3 linked regions of the Anolis sagrei genome follow. The protein of the gene in region 2 interacts with the protein of the main gene of each other region in a pairwise test. Links are inferred from orthologs where the notes say so. Each region holds a gene or a part of one and is shown on either strand. Other genes may lie near its edges.

What was found.
Region 1: the proteins of TCHP (region 2) and NDOR1 interact in binary tests that used the Homo sapiens proteins (3 or more experiments, as listed by UniProt). The two-hybrid records come from large-scale screens. The link is inferred for Anolis sagrei from reciprocal best matches to the Homo sapiens genes TCHP and NDOR1.
Region 3: the proteins of TCHP (region 2) and DYDC1 interact in binary tests that used the Homo sapiens proteins (3 or more experiments, as listed by UniProt). The two-hybrid records come from large-scale screens. The link is inferred for Anolis sagrei from reciprocal best matches to the Homo sapiens genes TCHP and DYDC1.

What each region holds. Positions count from the first base shown.
Region 1 is NC_090031.1:15,456,255-15,464,125, forward strand, and holds the start of NDOR1 (NADPH-dependent diflavin oxidoreductase 1), read left to right. Parts: upstream 1-4,614; 5' UTR 4,615-4,699; coding exon 4,700-4,711; intron 4,712-6,119; coding exon 6,120-6,254; intron 6,255-6,502; coding exon 6,503-6,580; intron 6,581-7,871. Other genes in the region: TMEM203 (transmembrane protein 203), read right to left, coding at 4,126-4,554. UniProt on the Homo sapiens protein: NADPH-dependent reductase which is a central component of the cytosolic iron-sulfur (Fe-S) protein assembly (CIA) machinery.
Region 2 is NC_090034.1:61,406,132-61,413,544, reverse strand, and holds the start of TCHP (trichoplein keratin filament-binding protein), read left to right. Parts: upstream 1-4,290; 5' UTR 4,291-4,398; intron 4,399-7,413. UniProt on the Homo sapiens protein: Tumor suppressor which has the ability to inhibit cell growth and be pro-apoptotic during cell stress. Inhibits cell growth in bladder and prostate cancer cells by a down-regulation of HSPB1 by inhibiting its phosphorylation.
Region 3 is NC_090023.1:155,234,545-155,242,548, forward strand, and holds the start of DYDC1 (DPY30 domain-containing protein 1), read right to left. Parts: upstream 3,258-8,004; 5' UTR 3,003-3,257; intron 1-3,002. UniProt on the Homo sapiens protein: Functions as part of axonemal radial spoke complexes that play an important part in the motility of sperm and cilia. Plays a crucial role during acrosome biogenesis.

The DNA of each region.
Region 1 (7,871 bases), on a different chromosome or scaffold from region 2:
TTGATTTTTTCCAGTCTGATGGCCATTCTTGTGTTTTCCATATTTGCTGGCAAATGGCATGCATCACCTTGACAGCATCATCTTTTAAGATTTTAAACAGTTCAGCTGGGATCCCGTCATCTCCTGCTGCCTTGTTGTTAGCAATGCTTCTTAAGGCCCATTCAACCTCACTCCTCAGGATGTCTGGTTCTAATTCATTCACCACACCGTCAAAACTATCCTCAATATTATTATCCTTCCTATACGTAGGGCGCTTGCTTTCTAGCTATTGGCGTTTTACATTTTTTTCAATAGGAAGTAATAGAAAGATTTACAAGCCCTCTAGTGGGGATTCCAATTACTGCTTCAGCAACCAGGATGCAGTGACTTTCCCCTCAACACGAATATTATTTGGACTATTATTACTATTATCATTCTTTGTTCATGCAATTTTTCCCAAGAAGCTTAAACATAACATAAAGCAACACCCCGCCCCTCAACAATAAATGAAACTATAATTCAGGAAGACACCATACAAGCCCTCCCGACAGATGGCCGAACTCCCAGGCAGCATACTCTACTCTTAGCTTTCCAGATGGGTAAGAAAAACAACAACAACCATATATTGACTCAAGAATGGGAATCTATTTACATGTTTAGCAACCCATTTCCATTTGGTCTGAAGTCCAGTGAGAATACACATATGAACATAAGAATGGGAATCTCTATCGAAATATTCTCAAATTGCGGTCTTGTTTTGTTCCTTGTTCTGCATGGTCTGAGGTCCAGCAACAAAGGATATATTTGCATGCAAATGGGGATCTATTTACATGTTTATTCTTAAATTCTGATCTTGTTCCATAGGGCCGGAATTCCAATCAGAATACACATATTGACTTAAGAATGGGAAATCTATGTACATATTTATTCTCAAATTGCAGTGTGGCTCCATATGGTCATCTGAAGTCCATAATACATACATAAAAATGAGAATGGGAATCTATTTACATGTTTATTCTTAAATAGCGGTCTTGTTCTATTCGTATTTCCACATAGTCTGAAGTCCAGTGAGAATAAACATATTGATATAAGAATGGGAATATATATATATATATATATATATATATATATAGATTCTTAAATACTGGTCTGTTTCCATATGGTCTGAAGTCCAATGAGAATACATAAACATGATGGGAATCTATTTACATGTTTATTATTAAATAGCAGTCTGATTCCATTCCTAGTTCTACATAATCTGAAGTCCAGTGACATAAGAATGGAAATCTATCTACATATTTATTCTCAAATTGTAGTCTGGTTCCATTCCTAGCTCCACATGCTTTGAAGTCCAGTGACAATGCATGTATTTGCATAAGAATGGGAATATATCCATGTATATATTATTAAATATAGTTCCATATGGCCTGAAGTCCAGTGAGAATGCATAAACATGAGGATGGGAATCTATTTACATGTTTATTCTTAAATAGTCTTGTTCCATATGGTCAGAAGACCAGTCAGGATACACATAATTGCATAAGAATGGGGATATGTCTATATATTTCTCCTCAAATTGCGGTCTGGTTCCATATGGTCGAAAGTCAATTCAAAATACACATATTTGCATAAGAATGGAAATACATCTACATATTTATTCTTAAATATCAGTCTTGGTCAACATAGTCTAAAGTCCAGTGAGAATGCATGTATTGGCGTAAGAATGGGGACCTGTCTACATATTTTTCCTCAAATTGCAGTCTGGTTCCATATGGTCGAAAGTCCATTCAGAATACACATATTTGCATAAGAATGGGGATTATCTACATATTTCTCCTCAAATTGCGGTTTGGTTCCATATGGTCAGAAGTCCATTCAGAATACATATATTTGCATAAGAATGGGGACATATCTACATATTTATTCTTAAATAGCAGTTTTGTTCCACATAATCTGAAGTCCAGTGAGAATACATGTACTGACATAAGAATGAGGATTTATCAACATATTTCTTCTCAAGTGGCAGTCTGATTCCATACTTTGTTGTACTCAGTCTAGGGTCCAGCAACTGCCTCTGTCTGCATAAGAAGGGGCCCTATCTGCATGCCTGTCTGCAAGCAGGCCTTGTTCCTGGGCCACTTCTCCTCTTGACCCAACCAAACACCTCTTAATTTATTCTTAAGTAGCGGTTTGGTTCCATATGGCCTTAAGTCCAGTGAGAATACACAAACATGAGAATGGGAATCTATTTTCATGTTTATTCTTAAATAGCAGTCCTGTTCAATATGGTTGGAAGTCCATTCAGAATACACATATTTGCATAAGAATGGGGATTATCTACATATTTCTCCTCAATAGCAGTCTGGTTCCATATGATAGGAAGTCCAGTCAGAATACATATATTTACATAAGAATGGAAACATATCCACATTTGTTCTTAAAAAGCAGTTTTTTTTTCAACATAGTCTCAAATCTCTAAGAATGGGGATCTATCTACATATTTTTTCTCAAATGGCAGTCTGATTCCACGCCTTGTTGTATTTGGTCCAAGGTCCAGCAACAATGCCTCTGTCTGCATAAGAAGGGGCCCTATCTGCATGCATGTACATAAGCAGGCCTTGTTCCCGGGCCACTTGTTCTCCTGTTCCTGGCTCTCCTCCCCTTGACCCAGCAACACAACCAAATGCCTCTTAATTTATTCTTAAGTAGCGGTCTGGTTCCATATGGCCTGAAGTGAGAATACATAAACATGAGAATGGGAATTTATTTACACGCATATTCTTAAATAGCAGTATGGTTCCATATGGCCTGAAGTCTAGTGAGAATACATAAGCATGAGAATGGGAATCTATTTACATGCTTATTCATAAATAGTAGACTGGTTCCATTCCTAGTACCACATATTCTGGAGTCTATGAGTTGACATATTTCTTCTCAAGTGGCAGTCTAGTTCCACGCTTTGCAGTAACTGGTCCAAGCTCCAGCAACAATGCCTCTGTCTGCATAAGAAGGGGCCCTATCCGCATGCCTGTCCGCAAGCAGGCCTTGTTCCTGGGCCACTCCTCCTCTTGACCCAGCAACACAGCCAAATGCATCTTAATTTATTAAGTAGCGGTCTGGTTCCATATGACCTGAAGTTTGGTGAGAATACATAAACATGACAATGGGAATCTATTTGTACGCATATTCTTAAATAGCGGTCTGGTTCCATATGGCCTGAAGTCTGGTGAGAACACATAAACAGGTATTGACATAAGAATGTGGATCCATCTACACATTTATTCTCAAATGGCGGTCTGATTCCACGCCTTGTTGTACTTGGCCCAAGGTCCAACAACAATGCCTCTGTCTGCATAGGAAGGGGGCCTATCCGCACGCCTGTCTGCAAGCAGGCCTTGTTCCTAGACCACTCCTCCTCTTGACCCAGCAACACAGCCAAATGCCTCTTAATTTAATTTAGTATTGGTCTGGTTCCATATGGCCTAAAGTTCAGTGAGAATACATAAACATGAGAATGGGAATCTATTTACACGCTTATTCTTAAATAGCAGTCTGGTTCCATATGGCCTAAAGTCCAGTGAGAAAACATAAACATGAGAATGGGAATCTATTTACACGCTTATTCTCAAATAGCAGTCTGGTTCCATATGGCCTGAAGTCCGGTGAGAAAACATAAACATGAGAATGGGAATCTATTTAAATGCTTATTCTTAAATAGTAGTCTGATTCCACTCCTAGTTTCACATAGTCTGGAGTCTATGAATTGACATATTTCTTCTCAAGTGGCAGTCTGGTTCCACGCCTTGTTGTATGGCCTGAAGTCCAGTAAGAATACATAAACATGAGAATGGGAATCAATTTACACGCTTATTCTCATATAACAGTCTGGTTCCATATGGCCTAAAGTCCAGTGAGAATAAATAAACACGGGAATGAGAATCTATACGCTTATTCTTAAACAGCGGCCTGGTTCCATTCCTAGTTCCACATAGTCTGGAGTTATGAGCTGACATATTTCTTCTCAAATGGTGGCCTGGTTCCAGTAACGACGCCTCTGTCTGCATAAGTAGGGACCCTAGCTGCAAGCTGGCTTTGTTCTCCGCCTCCTCTCGACCCGGCGACACAGGCCAAGGCCTCCCCGAAGCCTCAGAAGATCCTGCAGGCGCGGATCATGAGGAGTTGGAGCAGGATGAAGACGGGCGCCATGATGAGGCCGTACCAGAGCTGCTCGCGGCCGGGCTTGGGCTCCTGGCCCAGCTTCTGGCAGAGCAGCATCTCGAAGACGAACTTGAGGCTGAGGAGGGTGAGCACCCAGAAGAGGCGCAGCACGGCCAGCCGCTTCTCGCCGTCCTGGAAGAGCCGCACCGAGACGATGGCCGTGAAGTAGGTGCAGAGCCCGTCGGCGGCGAAGAGCGGGCCCAGCGCGCCCCACCAGCTCAGCCCCGCCGCCGCCGCCCCGCCGTCCGCCTTCAGCGCCACCAGCGCCGACGCCGCCAGCAGCGCCAGCCCCTGCAGGAGCAGCTCGAAGGGCGCCAGGCCCAGCCACTGCACCGCCTCCCGCAGAGAGAACAGCATCCCGAAGCCTCAGGACGCCGGCCCCGCCGCCGCGCGCTTCCGCTTCTGCCGCGGCTTCCGGCGCGCGGGGGTGACGTCGGGACGTCCCGAGCGAGGGAGGCGCCGACACTTCTGGGCGCGAGGCAGTGACGTTTGCGGCACCGCGATGCCGGCTCAGGTGAGGCGCTGCTGCTGCTGCGCGCTTCTGAGGGGGAAAAGTAGGAGCCTTCAAGTGGAGTGAATCCGCTTTGAATCCGGTTTCTGCCTACTGCAGAATTCTGGGGTTGGTAGTTTAGGGTGTAGGAGCCTTTTCACATCCTCACTAAACTACAAAACCCCAGCATCCTGCAGAATTGAAAGTGGATGGAGGTAGTTCTGCCTTGGGCCCTTCCACACAGCCCTATATCCCAGGATAGCAAGGCAGAAAATCCCACCATATCTGCTTTGAACTGGGTTATCTGAGTCCACAGTCAGGTAATGTGGGATTTCCTGCCTTGATATTCTGGGATATAGGGCTGTGTGGAAGGGCCTCCGGTTGTCGTGGGGCCAGGGCTCACTCTCCACTCTCATCTTATCTATCTATGTGTATATAGTCTGTTGGCTCCCTCTTTCCCTCTCAGTTGTCGTGGGGCCAGGTCTCACCCTCCACTCTCCTCTATTTATGTGTATATAGTACGTTGGCTCCCTCCTTTCCTCTCAGTTGTCGTGGGGCCAGGGCTCACCTTCCTCTCTCATCTAATGTATCTATCTATCTATGTGTATATAGGCCATTGGCTCCCTCCTTCCCTCTCAGTTGTTGTGGGGCCAGGGCTCACCTTCCACTCTCATCTCATCTATCTATCTATGTGCATATAGTCCGTTGGCTCCCTCCATGAAAATGAACAAAATCTGGCTACCAGTATTAAAAAAACTCTAAAATTAAAACAGCACAACAGAGAGGAAACAAACAAGGACATCTAATCACCTCTCAACAAAAGTTTGCTCCAGGCACTGTCAGGCCATTATATGCTAATCAAGGTAGTCAGTTGAAACATTCACACCTAGCTCCAGGAGACAAGAGTCCTTTGTCCTACCCCGGTCATTTCACAGATATATAAACCTTTTTTCCTAGTCCCAACAGAAACCTCTGTTGGATGCTTGCCATAGATGCAGGCGAAACGTCAGGAGAGAATGCCTTTAGAACATGGCCATATAGCCCGAAAAAACCTACAACAACCCATTATGATGTTCTGGTTGCATCTTTGTTGTTGTTGTTGTTGTTTATTAGTTCAATCACTTTAACCTTTTTGTGACCTCATGGACCATCCCACGCCACAGCTCTCTGTAGGCCATCACCACCCCCAGCTTCTTCAGAGTAAAGCCAATCACTTCAAGTAAACGTCTTCTGATTTCCTGGCTGCAGTCTGCGTCTGCAATCATCTCTTTGTCTAGAAATACAAAATCTGTCACTGCTTCCACGTTTTTGATAGAACACAATAACTATGTTCTTAATTTGAGAAAGAGCTGCATGATAAACCAGTGGCCAAGAGAGAAGCCTTGGCTTTCTGCTTTCACTAAATGGGGTGTCTCTGCTTCTCTTCTTCCAGATGGAGGATCGGAAGATGTTGGTCCTCTTTGGCAGCCAGACAGGGACGGCTCAAGATGCGGCTGAAAGGGTCGGCCGGGAGGCCAAGCGGCATCACTTCCGGTGCAAAGTGGAGGCCCTGGACGACTACTGTGTGGTGAGCAGCCCGGCTGCCCTTCCAGCTTCCCCCCTTCAAGATGGGTGTCTTTAACAGGCCAAATAATCCCAGAGGAATACCCCAAATCGAATATCATGCACAGCTTTTTGGGATAAATACCTTCGCCAAAATGGGGGTGCATAGTAGATTTGATGGCAAATTAGACTAAAATCAATATTGTAATTGTTTGAGAAAAGTAAAAAGTATGGGACAGCAATTGCTTGATAAATTATTGATCTTTTCTCCAGGCTTCCCTCATCCATGAACCGTTGGTGGTGTTTGTCTGTGCAACAACGGGACAAGGAGACCCTCCTGATAACATGAAGGTCAGATTATTATTATTATTATTACTACACTATACAAACAATTTTAAAAAAATCTGTTCCTGGTTTGAAAGTGTTATTTCCTGTACTTAATTTGAAAGTAGTTGTTCTACTCCAGAAACTTTGTTTTGGAGGCTGCCACAAACTAGGTTGAATTGGTTGAGATTCTGTGAGATATGCTTTCAAAAACTATAGCAAAATGTGCTGCAGGATATCCCAAAGAAACAAAGTTTTTGCAGTTTAAACAACATTTTTCATGTTTTTATGATAGTATCAATTAGGAAATGTTATTTATAACTCAGGAACAAAAATGTGTTATGTAGTGCTATTATTAGTATCATAGAATCAAACCCCTCCTGACAGATGGCCATCCAGCCCCTGTTTAAAAGCCTCCAGGGACTGAGCCTTCACCGGATTCAGAGGCAATGAGTTCCACTGTTGAACAGCCTTACAACCAGGAAGTCCTTCCTTATATTCATTATTATTATTATTAGCTGTCCCCTGCCATGTGTTGCTGTGACCCAGTCTGTGTATATGTGTTTTGTGTATGTATACATGTGTGTATGTGTATATATGTGATTTTGTGCATGCGTTGTAATGTAATTTTGGGGGGGGGGGGTTGGCTTTTTAAGTCCCTTCTGCTGTGTTTTTCAGTGTTTTTTATGAGTGATGGTCACTTGTGTCCAAATTTGGTGTCAATTCACCCAGTATTTTTTGAGTTATGTTAATCCCACAAATGAACAATACATTTTTATTTATATAGATTGTTATTAATATGCCACTTTTTCTTTCTAATATCTCACTTTTTCTTAAAGCGGCTCACAATAAATCCAACACAGTACAATAAACCAATATAATACAGATATCCTCCCATTAAGAATATTTGGACCCTAACAGGAGAAAAACCAGCCAGTACTATATATGAGTTTATGGTAGGAAAGAGGAGAGAAAAGACACAGGTAAATATCATTTTTTAAAAAAAATATTTACTCTTGAAAGGAATACATCTCAGATAAAAAAAAGAGTAGATAGACAGAAGAAAAGTTACCTAACTTGGGTACAAGAGTTACTAATGCTGACACTTGTGTTTTGGTGTCATAATAATAATAATAAGCTCAATGGAAGCAATACCACCAAGGCCATAAACATCTGGGCCATACTTGTCATAAGATATACTGCTGGCATCATAAACTGAACACAGGCGGAACTGGACAGAAAAACAAGAAAACTCATGACCATTCATTATTCACTGCATCCTCGCAGTGATGTTAACTGGCTATATCTGCCCAGAAGG
Region 2 (7,413 bases):
CCAGAGAAAGCCTGATTTCAGCAATTTTGTTGAGATTAAAATTCAAAATAAGCTCACTGAAAGTCGAAGAAAGGCACCGAGGTGGTTTTATTTGCGATTCAGCTGAAAAGGATGCTAAGTAGCGATAATTCGTCTACAGAGCATACCAGTACAGAGATCAGAGGCATTTTTATAGGAATTTCCAGGTTTGAAAGTTCAAAATTCCCGCCCCCAGCCCTCCGCCCGGCTCGCCAGTGATTGGCTGATGAGATTCCAGCTGGGAGGAGGCACGGCCGGCCGCCCTGCTTCAATGCCAATCACGGAGCTCCCCCGCTTCACAGGGGCCATTGGGAAAACTTTCCACGCTTCAGCGCCTTGGCGAATCAGGAGAAGGGAGGCGGGACGAAACAGAAACAATGAGCCGGCGAATGAATCAATGGGTGCGATGCCCACCCTATTGTCCTTGAGTGGATTTGCGATGATCTTTGATTACCTTTATCCTGGTCTCCAGCCACAATCAGATAAGGCACAAAGGGTGGCTTGGGGAAATGTCTGGTTTATGAATGGAGTAAGCAAAATTGGGAAGGCGACCCCCCAAGGATCGTCTCGCTCCTATTGTGAAGATGGCCAAAGGTTTGCCAAGGACATTCCAGACTGATGGCCATAATCCTGGAACCACATGGAGATTCCAGGTCTTATTGTCCACGCCAAAGTTCTGGGATATGTGTTTCTTTGTTGCCTCTGATTGCCTTTCCAACAGCTGGCCGCTTCCTTGAGGTGACTCTCCTACTATGAAGGGGCGAGGGGTGGGGTGCCAAGGAAAAATACTTGGGAAAAGAAACAGGAATCCAGATAAATTCATGTCAACCTCCCTTCTCTCCCCCCACCTGCCAGAGAAATTGGTTAATATAATTTTATTAAGACGTGAGTCCATGGTTCATGTGGGGCAATTCATATGTAGGGAATGAGTTCATAGGAGCAAGAAAAGGGGATTAAAGAAAGCCAAAAAGTCTCAAAAAGGTGTCTGATCATTTCCACTGAGCCAAAGGATGGATTCCAGCAATGTCAAGATCAAGTTGGTCTTTTGTCCTTGGGGAACTATAACTCCTTCCAAGGACTTGGGCCTCCAGGCCAGGCTCTTCCCCGTGAGCCTTATGGGGTAACCACACCAAGTATTCGGGGGCATGGGTCTGGCGGAGGCGATGAGATGGCGGGGCGCAGCAGCGCAGAAGTAACGGAGCCAGCTTTTTGACAATCAGCTGTTCCTCGCAAAATATATTCTTAAATTGGTTATTTCCCGAGTGTAGAAGTCCAAAAGGCAAAAAGCGAGATAGCAGATAGGGTTAGAATTAAGCTAGGAAAAATATGCCACCGAAATGGGGGCGTTTGGCCATCTCGCGGATGACTCAGAGGGGAAGACTCAGTATCCGCGGTTAGAAAAGTGCAGATTCGGCCTCCCCGGAATGCCAGGAAGGCATTCCGGGCAAGCCTGCAGTCTCCTGCGGCCTGGGAAAGATTATTTTCAAGCATTTAGATAGTTCAGGCAAGGAAAGAACCAAAGTATCAAGCTAGAGGGTTAAAAGTTGCAATTTCATAAATCTTTATTTGGGGTTTTGTTACAAAGTAGGGGCTGGGTAGGAAAGTGGGAAGAGAAAGCATAGGGCTGTTTTGAGTCCTGGTTGAGCTCGCTGTTGGGGCTCATTTAATCAGTTTGGCCCAATCCTTGCTTCCAGGAACTGCGGAAATCCCTGCTGCAGGTCAATTTAATTTAAAAGCAGAGGTCTGAGCTGCGCTCGGTATCACTGGTGCTATTTGGAGGAGGAGGATAAATTGATGATGGAACTTGCAGTACTTTCACTCACTTCTTGAGATCACTGTGACCATCAACAATGACAGATCAGGACCAAACTTGACACACAGAGCCCCCATGACGCACTCTACATGCTAGTGTGATTTGGAAGACTTTGGACCATGGATAATGGGACATGCAGTATCTTCATTCACTTCTAGAGACCACTGTGACCATCAACAATGACAGATCAGGACCAAACTTGACACACAGAGCCCCCATGATGCACTCTACATGCTAGTGTGATTTGGAAGACTTTGGATCATGGATAATGGGACATGCAGTATCTTCATTCACTTCTAGAGATCACTGTGACCATCAACAATGACAGATCAGGACCAAACTTGACACACAGAGCCCCCATGACGCACTCTACATGCTAGTGTGATTTGGAAGACTTTGGACCATGGATAATGGGACATGCAGTATCTTCATTCACTTCTAGAGACCACTGTGACCATCAACAATGACAGATCAGGACCAAACTTGACACACAGAGCCCCCATGATGCCCTCTACATGCTAGTGTGATTTGGAAGACTTTGGACCATGGATAATGGGACATGCAGTATCTTCATTCACTTCTAGAGACCACTGTGACCATCAACAATGACAGATCAGGACCAAACTTGACACACAGAGCCCCCATGACGCACTCTACATGCTAGTGTGATTTGGAAGACTTTGGACCATGGATAATGGGACATGCAGTATCTTCATTCACTTCTAGAGACCACTGTGACCCAAACCAATGACAGATCTTGGCACACATAGCCACCATGACTGACTTTACATCCTGGTGCGATTTGGAGGAGGACGTACCATGGACGATGTGACTTGCATATGGGAGTTGTAGTTCATCCACACCCACTGAACCCAGCCGACATTGGATCTAGGCGAAACTTGATATCTATTAAAATATAATAGGTTTATTTATAAGTCACTTAAATACAAATGCATTGGGTTTTATTCATTTCAAAGTGCTGACTTTAGCCTAGAAAGCCCTAAACCAGTGGTTCTCAACCTCCCTAATGCTGTGATCCCTTAATACAGTCCCTCATGTTGTTGTGACCCCCAACCATAATATTGTTTTCGTTGCTACTTCATAACAGTCATTTTACTACCGTTATGTATCATAATTTAAAAATCTGATATGCAGGGTGCATTTTCATTCACTGGGCACAAATACCCAATGCACACAAATGTGAATGCTAGTGGGGTTGGGGGAGGATTGATTTTGTAATTTGGGAGTTGTAGTTGCTGGGATTTATAGTTCACTTATAATCAAAGAGTATTCTAAACTCCACCAATGATTTGAACCAAACTTGGCTCCCATGACCAATGGAAAACACTGGAGGGGTTTGATGGGCATTGACCTTGAGTTTGGGAGTTGTAGTTCACCTATATCCAGAGAGCACTGCGGACTCATGCCATGGTGGATCTGGACCAAACTTGGCATGAATACTCAATATGCCCAAATGTGAACACTGGTGGAGTCTGGGGAAAATAGATCTTGACATTTGGGAGTTGTAGTTGCTGGGATTTATAGTTCATTACAATCAAAGAATATTCTGAACTCAACCAACGATAGAATTGGCTCAAACTTCCCACATGGAATCCCCATGACCATCACAAAATGCTGTGTTTTCTTATAGTCTTTGGCGACCCCTCTGACACCCCCTCGCGACCCCCTTAGGGGTCCTGACCCCCAGGTTGAGAAACACTGCCCTAAACGGTTCCGGTCCAGCTTCCCTGTCCAAACGTATCTCTCCTTATGAACCATCTAGGAATTTAAGATCGTTTGGGGAGGCCCTGCTCTCGATCCCGCCTTCTTTGCAGCTGCGGCTGGCGGGGACGAGAGACAGGGCCTTCTCAGTGGTGGCCCCTCGGCTGTGGAACTCCCTCCCTAGGGATATTAGATTGGCCCCCTCCCTCCTGACCTTCAAAAAAAATGAAAACATGGCTTTGTGAACAAACCTTTGGGAATGCAGTGCAATAGATAAACACGGAATTATGTAAGACTGAAACATGGAACGGCTTAGACGAAAGTGAGCTTAAGTGGAAGATATTGCTTATTATGTTTTTAATTGTTTTTGTATGGATTTTATAATTTTTTTTTTGTATTTTGTGAATTGTTATGGCATCGTCTTGCTGCCAATTTGTAAGCCGCCTTGAGTTGCCTTCAGGCTTGAGAAAGGCGGGATTAGAAATATCGTAAGCAAATAAATAAACAAATTTCACGCATAAGGGGAAAAACAACAACACTCCTATTAAGTGCTTTCCAATGGGAACCCGGAAGTGTAGGATGGGAGATCGCTTCCAATTATACTGAAGCCCTTTGTCGTTCTCAGTTCGCTTCGTGCTAGTGGATGGAAGGAAGGAAAGCGGTTCTTAAAGCGAGTGGCCACGCCCCCTTCGCGCGAAGGGAGAACAAGGAAAGGTTTCTCTCCCTCGTCGGCTTCCGTAGCTCCCAACCGGAAGTGTTGCTATGGCGACGCCAGAAGTGGGGAAACCGTTAAAAATGGCGATGAAGGAGGAGGAAAGACGGTAAAGCAGCAAGTTCCGAAAAAGGTACTTAATTATAAAAATATATATATTTAATTAAAATTGTTAATTAGTAACTGATAATTAATATATGTATGTGTATAACATAATAATCTCTAAAGGGTCTCCTGTATAATAATAATAATAATATAATAAAATATGATAATATAATTTTTAAAGTAATACAATAATAATATAAAATAACTATAATATAATATAATGTGATAATAAAATTTAAAGTAATTAATGTAATAGAATAATACAGTATAACATAATAATAGAATATATTATCTATATAAATAAATAAATGTAATGTTAGTTCGTGCTACCATCAGAACTCCAAAACCACTGGGGGAATTGACACCAAATTTGGACACAAGACACCTAACAGTCCAATTTATGTCCTCCACTAAAAAAAAATGATTTTGTCATTTGGGAATTGTCGTTGCTGGGATTTATAGTTCACCTACAATCAAAGAGCATTCTGAACTCCACCAATGATGGAATTGGGCCAAACTTGGCACACAGGGCTCCCATGACCAACAGAGAAAACTGGAAGGGTTTGGTGGACATTGACCTTGAGTTTGGGAATTATAGTTCACCCACATCCAGAGAGCACTGTGGACTCAAACAATGATGGATCTGGACCAAACTTGGCACGAATATTCCATATGCCCAAATATGAACACAGATGGAGTTTAAGGGAAATAGACCTTGACATTTGGGAGTTGTAGTTGCTGGGATTTATAGTTCACCTACAATCAAAGAGCATTCTGAACTCCACCAATGATGGAATTCAACCAAACATGGCATACAGGACTTCCATGACCAACAGAACACACTGGAAGGGTTTGGTGGGCATTGACCTTGAGTTTGGGAGTTGTAGTTCACCTACATCCAGAGAGCACTGTGGACTCAAACAATGATGGATCTGGACCAAACTTGACACAAAAATTCCATATGCCTAAATATGAACACAGATGGAGTTTGGAGGAAATAGACCTTGACATTTGGGATTTGTAGTTACTGGGATTTATAGTTCACTACAATTAAAGAGCATTCTGAAACCCACAAATGACAGAAATGGGGCAAACTTCCCACACAGAACCGCCATGACCAACAGAAAATACTTAAGGCCATCCAGTCCAACTCTCTTCACCAGACCATGAAAATGTAATCAGAGCCCTCCTGACAAAGAGCCATCCAGTCATAAATATAGATAGATAGATAGATAGATAGATATGATTCTCTCTCACACACATAGATATAGTATCACAGATTTTAAAGAGACCCGTAAAGAAGGACAATGATATGTTGCATGTTCCAGGGAGAGCAAATCAGACACTCTCCACATCACACCTTGAGTTTGGGAGTTGTAGTTCACGTACATCCAGAGAGCACTGTGGACTCAAACAATGAGGGATCTGGACCAAACTTGGCACAAACACTCAGTACGCCCAAATATGAACACAGATGGCGTTTGGGGGGAATAGACCTTGACATTTGGGGGTTGTAGTCACTGGCATTCACAGTTCACCTACAATCAATGAGCATTCTGAACCCCACGAACAGCAGAATTGGGGCAAACTTTCCACACAGAACCCCCATAACCAACAGAAAATACTTAAGACCATCCAATCCAACTCGCTTCATCAGGGCAAGAAAGTGTAATCAAAGTCCTCCTGACAAAGAGCCATCCAGCCATAAATATAGATAGATAGATAGATAGATAGATAGATAGATATGATTCACACACACACAGATATAGTATCATAGATTTGAAAGGGACCCTTAAAGAAGGACTATGATATGTTGCATATTCCAGAGTAGGCAAACCAGACACTCTCCACATCAACACTGACAAAGAAATAGCAAGAAATACTGTTTACCCACAAGCATAAAGAAATTACATATATTAGAAACCAACACTTTCCCATTACTTTATTTTCCAGATCAACAGACTGGGCCACAGCAACACGTGGTAGGGGACAGCTAGTAAATATAAGTGTGTGTGAATTGTATCTATCTGTTAATATCTGTGATTGGATGGCTCTTTGTCAGGAGGGCTTTGATTACGTTTTCTTGCTCTGGTGAAGAGAGTTGGTGGTCGGGACCCCTGGGGGGTGTCGCGAGGGGGTGTCAGAAGGATCACCAAAAACCACCAGAAAACACAGTATTTTCTATTGATCATGGGGGTTCTGTGTGGGAGGTTTGGTCCAATTCTATTGTTGGAGGGGTTCAGAATGTGCTTTGATTGTAGGTGAACTATAAATCCCAGTAACAACAACTCCCAAATGTTAAGATCTATTTCCCCCAAACTCCATCTGTGTTCATATTTGGCATATGGAGTATTCGTGCCAAGTTTGGTCTAAATCCCACCAACTACAACTCCCAAATAGCAAAAGCAATTTTTTTTAGTGATGGTCACTCCTTGGGTTAGTAGATGTCTTGTGGCCAAATTTGACGGAAATTCGTCCAGCGGATTTTGAGTTATGATGTCACTCAAAACAAACAGAGCATTAATATAGATAGATAGATAATAATATATAATATATAATAATAATATACAATAATAATATATAATAAAAGGAGCCCCACTGCCCGGATTCCAACGGCCAACCTTTCAGTCAGCACAGCAGGTTAAACAGTTGAGCTGCTGAACTTGCTGACTGAAAGATTAGCCATTGGAATCCGGGCAGTGGGGTGAGCTCTCGCTGTTAGCCCCAGCTTCTGCCGACCTAGCAGTTCTGGACCACATTTGGCACAGAGTCCCAACATTGCCTGGTTTTGGGGAAGATTGACCCACGATTCTGGGAATTGCAGTTCACCCACATCATTATATATTTCCTAATGGGAGCATTGATGAAAAAATAAATCAAAGACTGTTTTTTTCCTAATAAATAGTGTTACTAATTAACTAAATGATATGACATAACACTCCAAAACAACCAATTTTTAAAGCTAGTATTATAATATATAACAATAATAAAGTATCATAGACCTTATTATTATTACTAGCCGTCCCCTACCACACGTTGCTGT
Region 3 (8,004 bases), on a different chromosome or scaffold from region 2:
ATTTTCATTATCTCTCTCCCCCCCCCCCCCTTCTTACTTTCTTTTTACCTTTTCCCTTACTATAAGATTCTTGGAGGACATTTGTGGATCAAAAAGTTATCTAAATATAAACGAGTGAAAAATAAGGACACAGGGAGAGAAAGCACACTAAGCTAAGTCCCACTGCATTATTGCATTTGTCTAGAAAACTTGTATGCTCTGACAGGGACATTTTAACCACTGGGTTAAAATACTCTAACAGTGGTTCTCAACCTGTGGGTCCCCAGATGTTTTGGCCTTCAACTCTCAGAAATCCTAAAAGCTAGTAAACTGGCTGGGATTTCTGGGAGCTGTAGGCCAAAGCACCTGGGGACCCACAGGTTGAGAACAGGTGAAAAAATACAAAATTTTGTGTATTCTGAGCAGTATCGTGTTGCTCTATGGAAATTCCCATTGAACAACAAGTCGCATGGCATTTGGATGCCTATTGTATATACAATGGGAAGCATGACTTGACACCCATGCTTTTGGATCCATTTGCACAATGGTTCTGGAGGGGGAACTCTGCCCTTGCTGGATTCTTGTGAATATGAGCATTGCCCAACATTGAAGACCATTGCATGTGATCATAATTCATCTCTGTTGCTGTTGTGTGCCTGACTTATGGTGACTTCAAGGCAAACCTATCATGATATAAATTGTTCAGAGAGCCTTCCCAGTCAGTTGTAAGCATGAATTTTATACTTGTGTCTTGTGTTTAATCTCTGTTATGTGCATTTTAATAAGTATTTTACAGAAATATGTTTTAAATATGTATCTATGTAATTTGTCAGTTTTTCATAAACAAACAGATATTAGGAAACACAAGGGGGGGGGGTGCCCACACAAAAACTTAAGAATTAAAACTCACCCAATACTTTTTTGTTTGAATGCTGTAATTTTTGTAAGTCAGTTTTATTTTCACTTCAAATGAGGTGAAGCCAAAAAAGCTGTCATTCCTATTTGAATTAAGAAATGATAGGCTGCTTCTTGCTATGAGGACAGGAAAGCAGCAGGGCAACATGAGCTGAGTGAGCTGGGAAAGAGACTAAGAGAAAACAGAATTATGGGAAATGTAGTTTGGAAAGCCGAGGAGCCCTATGGCAGAGAATTCAAAAGGTCCTGCCCTAAACTACATTTCCCAGAATTCTAGGAATCCCCACCCCAAGTCCTAGTAGCACCTTAGCATAACAAATTGTCACTGCACATCGCACTTTTAACCCTACGTGCCTCCTGCCATTCAGCACTTTTAACCCTTGTACCCCAGTGCGCCGGCCGAACCAGTTTTTAATAATGTCCTGATGTACTGCTATTGTTGTTATTTTGCATATTGTTTGATTTGTTTAGTATTGCGGTGTTATGTTATTTTGCTTACTGTTTGATTTGCCTTGTTGTTGTGATGTTATATTCTCTATTGTATTGTGTTTGAGGCTTCGGCCTGTGTAAGCCGCATCGAGTCCTCCGGGAGATGCTAGCGGGGTACAAATAAAGTTAATAATAATAATAATAATAATAAGCATCAGAAAGCCCCAAGCGGGATAGGGGAGAGATTGGTTCCTCATAGAAGTAGCCAGAGTTCCAAGAAATTGTTGAATTTGCAAAGAGGAGGACTAACTGATACAAGCAAATAAATTTCTGCTGGGCTGTAAAGAAATCCCTAAATTGAAGTTTTGTTGGTTAAAGACATTCAATGAAATAGCTGTTGTGGGGTTTTTTTAAAAAAAGTTTTTGTCATTTTTTAAAAAAAATCCAAAAAATCAGTAGATGCATGAATATTTTGGAAAGTTGGGGGGAATGATCCCCTGTTATCCTGTGCCATTGTATAGAAAATTCAAGGAGCCACCTCTTGTATTTTTTTAATTTTGTTTGTAATTTTTTTTGAAAATTTGCAAAAAAATCCATAGATGGGTGAAACATTCTGAAACTCCATGGGCTAACAGTGGTAAATATGTTCTATAATCATAGCAAGTTTCATGCCAATGAGGCAGAAAGGGGCCTCTGAAGTTTCCCTACTTGCACAATTACTATAATGAAAAAGTGACAAAATTTTGTTACTCTCATTACAGTAATTAAATTTTTACTAACGATACTTTAGAAACCCTTTAGAAATGAAACATCAACACCCCCTAATTTTGTAATGAATTTTGAAACATTTTTTCATTGATCACACAGCATATATATATGGGTGTAGGTGTGTGTGTAAGCCAAAAGCCCCATAAAAACTCACTAAACACTCTTCCATTTATAAGACAGAGAAAATAAAGGCTTGTTGCATTATCTGAACATGTGTGTATAGAATTTCTACGATATTCATGTGTTTTAATTATGCTGTAACCTGTCTCAATGGAGCCCCCGGTGATGCAGGACAGGTCACAGGTTCGAATCCGGGGAGAGGCGGATGAGCTCCCTCTATCAGCTCCAGCTCCTTATGCGGGAACATGAGAGAACATGAGAGAAGCCTCCCACAAGGATGATAAAACATCAAATCATCCGGGCATCCCCTGGGCAACATCCTTGCAGACGGCCAATTCTCTCACACCAGAAACGACTTGCAGTTTCTCAAGTCGCTCCTGACACGACAAAAAAAAAAACCTGCATCAAGCCACGAGGAGAGACAGGTAAGAAATAAAATAATAATAATAATAATAATAATTATTATTATTATTATTATTATTATTATTATTATTATTCAGGCTGAGAGAAAATGCCCAAAGTTCCCCAGTGGGTTTCTATGCCTGAGATTCAAACACTAGCCTTCCAACCTTCAGATTATAACACAACATCATACAAGATGCTACATTGGGATATTGGGATTAATTGGGCCCATGGCGATTTTACCTTACCAGAGATTGGTGTATGAAGCACCCCCCAGTCGGACTCTCTCAGCATCAATTCTAGTTCAAATGAGAAGCCACCCAACTGTCATCACTAAGAGAATCTACATATCATGATAGAAAAAAGTATTTATCAAAAGGCAAACTTACACTTGAACCCAAGGATGTACCAAACTGTAATGTCTCTTTCTTCAGTATGGCTTCATCAACTGAGGATGCTCAGAGAAGCCGTTAGACCTGGAAGCTTCTGTTTGGTATCCTAGCAACGGACCACTGCTTTATCTCTGATGATGCTACAACTCCCTCTTCTCCGTAGACAAGATGTTCCTCCTACCTTTACTTGGTTTGACTTTTAATGCTAATTGGCAAGATCAGTCTTCACAAGCGCTGGATCAAAATGTTTCTTACTGGGTAATGATAGTTTCCCAATTTACTAATCTTGGAAAGATACAAAGCAGATTAAAAAGGATGGAGATTTCGAAGTGATCAAATCAGAACGTGAGAAAGGATTGTGTGGCAATGATTATATGAGGAAGAGAGAAGAGTGTGGGTTACAATTTGAAAGAAAACCTGAAATGGGTGTATTATTTATATCTTTTTCGAGTTAAATGGTTAAATAACTATTGTTGGAAATATCTTGAAGAGTATATCATCAATGTTTCTTCCCGAGTCTTTGTCCAGTGAGCTGCTTGAGTCCCCCAAAGGGGGCATTTCAGGCAGCAAATGGATGGGCTCCCGCTGCGTGCTAGGGAAGACCTTTGTCCAACAGATTTTTGCCCTGGCCATGCCTTCTGCCAGAGTAGAGGAGAAATCCTGGAATAATTTGAGATTGCTCAAGAGGTTAAAAGAGTTCATTTTGGTTTGCCTTCTATTTAATGTATTCCATGATATCAAAATAAAGCAATAAAATAAAGACACAGGGATAGGAACTAAGGGAGGTTCCATCATAAGTTCATAGTTAGAAATAAGGGAGAAGTCAGGGTCTCTCTTGGCCCCATAGAGCAGGGGCCCTCAAACTATGGCCTGAGGGCCGCATATGGCCCTCCAAGGTCATCTAACAGGCCCTCACTCAGAGTCAACCTAAATCTGAAATGACTTGAAAGCACACAACAATAACAACAATCCTATCTCATCAGCCAAAAGCAGGTCCATACCAATAAGTTTATATTTATTTAAATTGTTTTTCATTTTAATTATTGTGTTGTTTTTATTTTATTTATTTTTTTGCACTACAGGTAAGATATGTGCAGTGTGCATAGGAATTCATTCATTTTTTTCCACAATTATAATCCGGCCCTCCAACAGTTTGAGAGACTTTGACCTGGCCCTCTGTTTAAAAAGTTTGAGGACCCCTGCCATAGAGTATAGGAGAGGTTACTCCCTTTTATTTGTTCTTTTTATTATCTCTGCACTGATGCAGAGTTTCAAAGGAAAGAATTTTCAAAGGAAAAGAAAGATACAGTGTTCCTTCACTTATTGTGGCTGTTACTTTCCAGGGTCACCCACAAAAAGTGAAAATCCACTAAGTAGGGACACTATTTATTTACTTTACTTGTATACCACAGTTTCTCAGCCTAACAGGCGACTCAACGCGGTTTACAACAAAGGTACAACAGTCAACAATATACAATTTAAAACCATAAAAGCATAATACACAATATTGACACAACAATAACAACCCAATGCATCTCATGACTAAAATCGTGATCCAGTTTCGTCGTCCATATTACCATTCCTGTAATCATCACATTCATTGCACCGATTAACCAAATGCCTGTTCGAACATCCAGGTTTTTAAGTAGCATCTCAAGCTGCCATTGCAAAAGTCCTACTCTCATTTTTGGTGTGTATTCATCCTCTGAGTATATCCTGACACCCTTTTCTTTTTAGGAAGCTTTATGCCTCTCCTGCCTTTCTTTCCATGCACTGGGTTGGTCTCGTGATGTCACGCAGGTCCAGGGGCGGCTCAACCCATTACGCAAAGTAAGCATTTGCAGTATAGTTGATTTTGCCCAGGGCACTCTTGAGGTGCTCTTGGGGGAAAATAGACCTTGACATATGCAAGTTGTAGTTACTGGAATGTATAGTTCACCTGCAATCAAAGAGCATTCTGAACTCCACCAATGATGGAATTGAACCAAATATGGCACACAGAACTCCCATGACAAACAGAAAACATATATCAGTGATTGGTTGGTGGTTGGGGGGGGGGGATACTGTTTGCTTACCGTTGAAAATACCTAGAGCCGCCTCTGCGTGGGTCCCCCCTCCTCCCTCAAGACCCACCTGCCATTCACCCCTCTAGACCTGTCCATCATCCTTCCCTTCCTTCTCCCGCTTTCAATCCGGACAGGCTCCCATCTGCAGAGGAAAGTGAGGAAGAGGGGGAGAAAGAAGAAGGCGAGAAGGAGGAGTTGGGCAAGTGGGGTGAATGCAGGAGGCGGCTTCCCAGGCTGGCATATCCCACGATGCACGTGGCAAGGAGAGACGTAGCTCCAGTGTAAATATATACATTACTGTATTTATTGAAAAACCGCGAAACAGCGAGTCCGTGAAAAGTGAAGTAGTGAGGGAACACTGTACCTAGTATAGTGTTGGAGGGGAAAATGTTGACAAAGTCCCAAAAATGGAGATACATTGTAGCATCAAAGGAATTGTGTTCTCTACTACTTCATCACACTAGAGCAGGGGCCATCAAACTTTTTAAACAGAGGGCCAGGTCACGGTCCCTCAAACTGTTGGAGGGCCAGATTATAATGTGAAAAAAATCATAAATGAATTCCTATGCACACTGCACATATCTTATTTGTAGTGCAAAAAAACACTTTAAAACAATACAATAAATAAAGAACAATTTTAACAGATATAAGCTTATTAGTATTTCAATGGGAAGTGTGGGCCTGCTTTTGGATGAAGAGATAGGATTGTTGTCACCCTACAACCTCTGAGGATGCTTGCCATAGATCAGTGGTTCTCAACCTTCCTAATGCAGCAACCCCTTAATACAGTTACTCATGTTGTGATGACCCTCAACCATAAAATTATTTTTGTTGCTACTTCAGAACTGTAATTCTGTTCCTGTTATGAATTGTAATGTAAATATCTTAAATACAGAATGTATTTCATTTACTGGACCAATTTGGCACAAATATCTGATACGCCGACATTTGAATGCTGGAGGGGTTGGGGGAGGGTTGATTTTGTCATTTAGGAGATGGGATTTATAGATGGAGATTAGAGGGAGAGAGGAAGAGAGTTGCAATTTATTAAGAAGTTTAATTTTATCATAAGCATTCAGAAACAGGAGAATTGAAGCTGGGGCTAACAGCGGGAGCTCACCTCGCTCTCCAGATTTGAACCTGTGACCCGTTAGTAAGTTTAGCAGCTCAGTGGTTTAACCCACTGAGCCACCAGGGGCTCCCAGGTATAAGTTGGAAATCATTTCAATGTGTTTAACATTTTTATTCTTAGTGTAAGTTTTCCTGTTGTGTGCAGTTTTGTGCTTGTTTTGATCTGTTTATTTAGTTGATTACTGTAATTTCTTTGAATTTAAAGGGTCGTTTAGAAAGCTCTTGACTACTGCATTTCAGAGTATTCAGCACCCATTCTATAATTATGGAAATCATCTATGTTTTTGATTTTGATTTTCTTAATATTTTGCTGTATTGAAAATCATATTCCACTGTTCAGTCCCCTACGAGCTCCTCCCCCACAAATATACCTTTTCAATTGCTATTTCATCCAGAGTTTTATCATTTTATGTCATGCAATTGGCCCACCCACTGTATTTGATTTTCCATTATGTTATTTTGTATTGTTTATTTGATTGGTTTATTTATTTTATTGTGATATTATTTTGTTGTTTATATTTTATGTTGCTGTAATGTATCGCTGGACTTGGCCTCGTGAGCCAAGCTGGATGGCCATCTGTCAGGGGTGATTTGAATGTAATATTCCTGCTTCTTGGCAGGGGGTTGGACTGGATGGCCCATGAGGTCTCTTCCAACTCTATGATTCTATGATTCTATTCTCTTTGGGGATTGCCAATATCCGCTGGATAATGGAGACAGGCAGGGAGTTTCAGAAAGATATCTATTTCTGCTTCATTGACTATTCTAAAGCCTTTGACTGTGTGGATCATAATAAATTGTGACAACTTCTTGGTGGGATGGGCATCCCAAGCCACCTTGTCTCTCTCCTGAGGAATCTGTACAAGGACCAAGTAGCAACAGTCAGAACTGACCACGGAACAACAGACTGGTTCAAGATTGGGAAAGGCGTACGGCAAGGCTGCATATTCTCACCCAACCTTTTTAACTTGTATGCAGAACACATCATGCGATGTGCGGGGCTTGATGAATACAAATCTGGGGTGAAAATTGCTGGAAGAAACATTAACAACCTCAGATATGCAGACGACACCACTCTGATGGCCGAAAGCGAGGAGGAGCTGAGGAGCCTTCTAATCAAGGTGAAAGTAGAAAGCGCAAAAGCTGAGTTGCAGCTAAACATCAAAAAAACCAATATTATGGCAACAAGAATGATTGACAACTGGGAAATAGAGGGAGAAAACGTAGAGGCCGTGACAGACTTTGTATTTCTAGGTGCAAAGATTACTGCAGATGCAGACTGTGGCCAGGAAATCAGAAGACGCTTACTTCTTGGGAGGAGAGCAATGTCCAGTCTCGATAAAATAGTAAAGAGTAGAGACATCACACTGGCAACAAAGATCCGCCTAGTCAAAGCCATGGTATTCCCTACGGATGTGAGAGCTGGACCTTAGGGAAGGCTGAGCAAAGGAAGATAGATGCTTTTGAGCTGTGGTGTTGGAGGAAAGTTCTGAGAGTGCCTTGGACTGCGAGAAGATCCAACCAGTCCATCCTCCAGGAAATAAAGCCCAACTGCTCATTGGAGGGAAGGATACTAGAGACAAAGTTGAAGTACTTTGGCCACATCATGAGGAGACAGCAAAGCCTAGAGAAGACAATTATGCTGGGGAATGTAGAAGGTAAAAGTAAGAGGGGCCGACGAAGGGCAAGATGGATGGATGCCATCCTTGAAGTGACTGGACTGACCTTGAAGGAGCTGGGGGTGGTGACGGCCGACAGGGAGCTCTGGCGTGGACTGGTCCATGAGGTCACGAAGAGTCGGA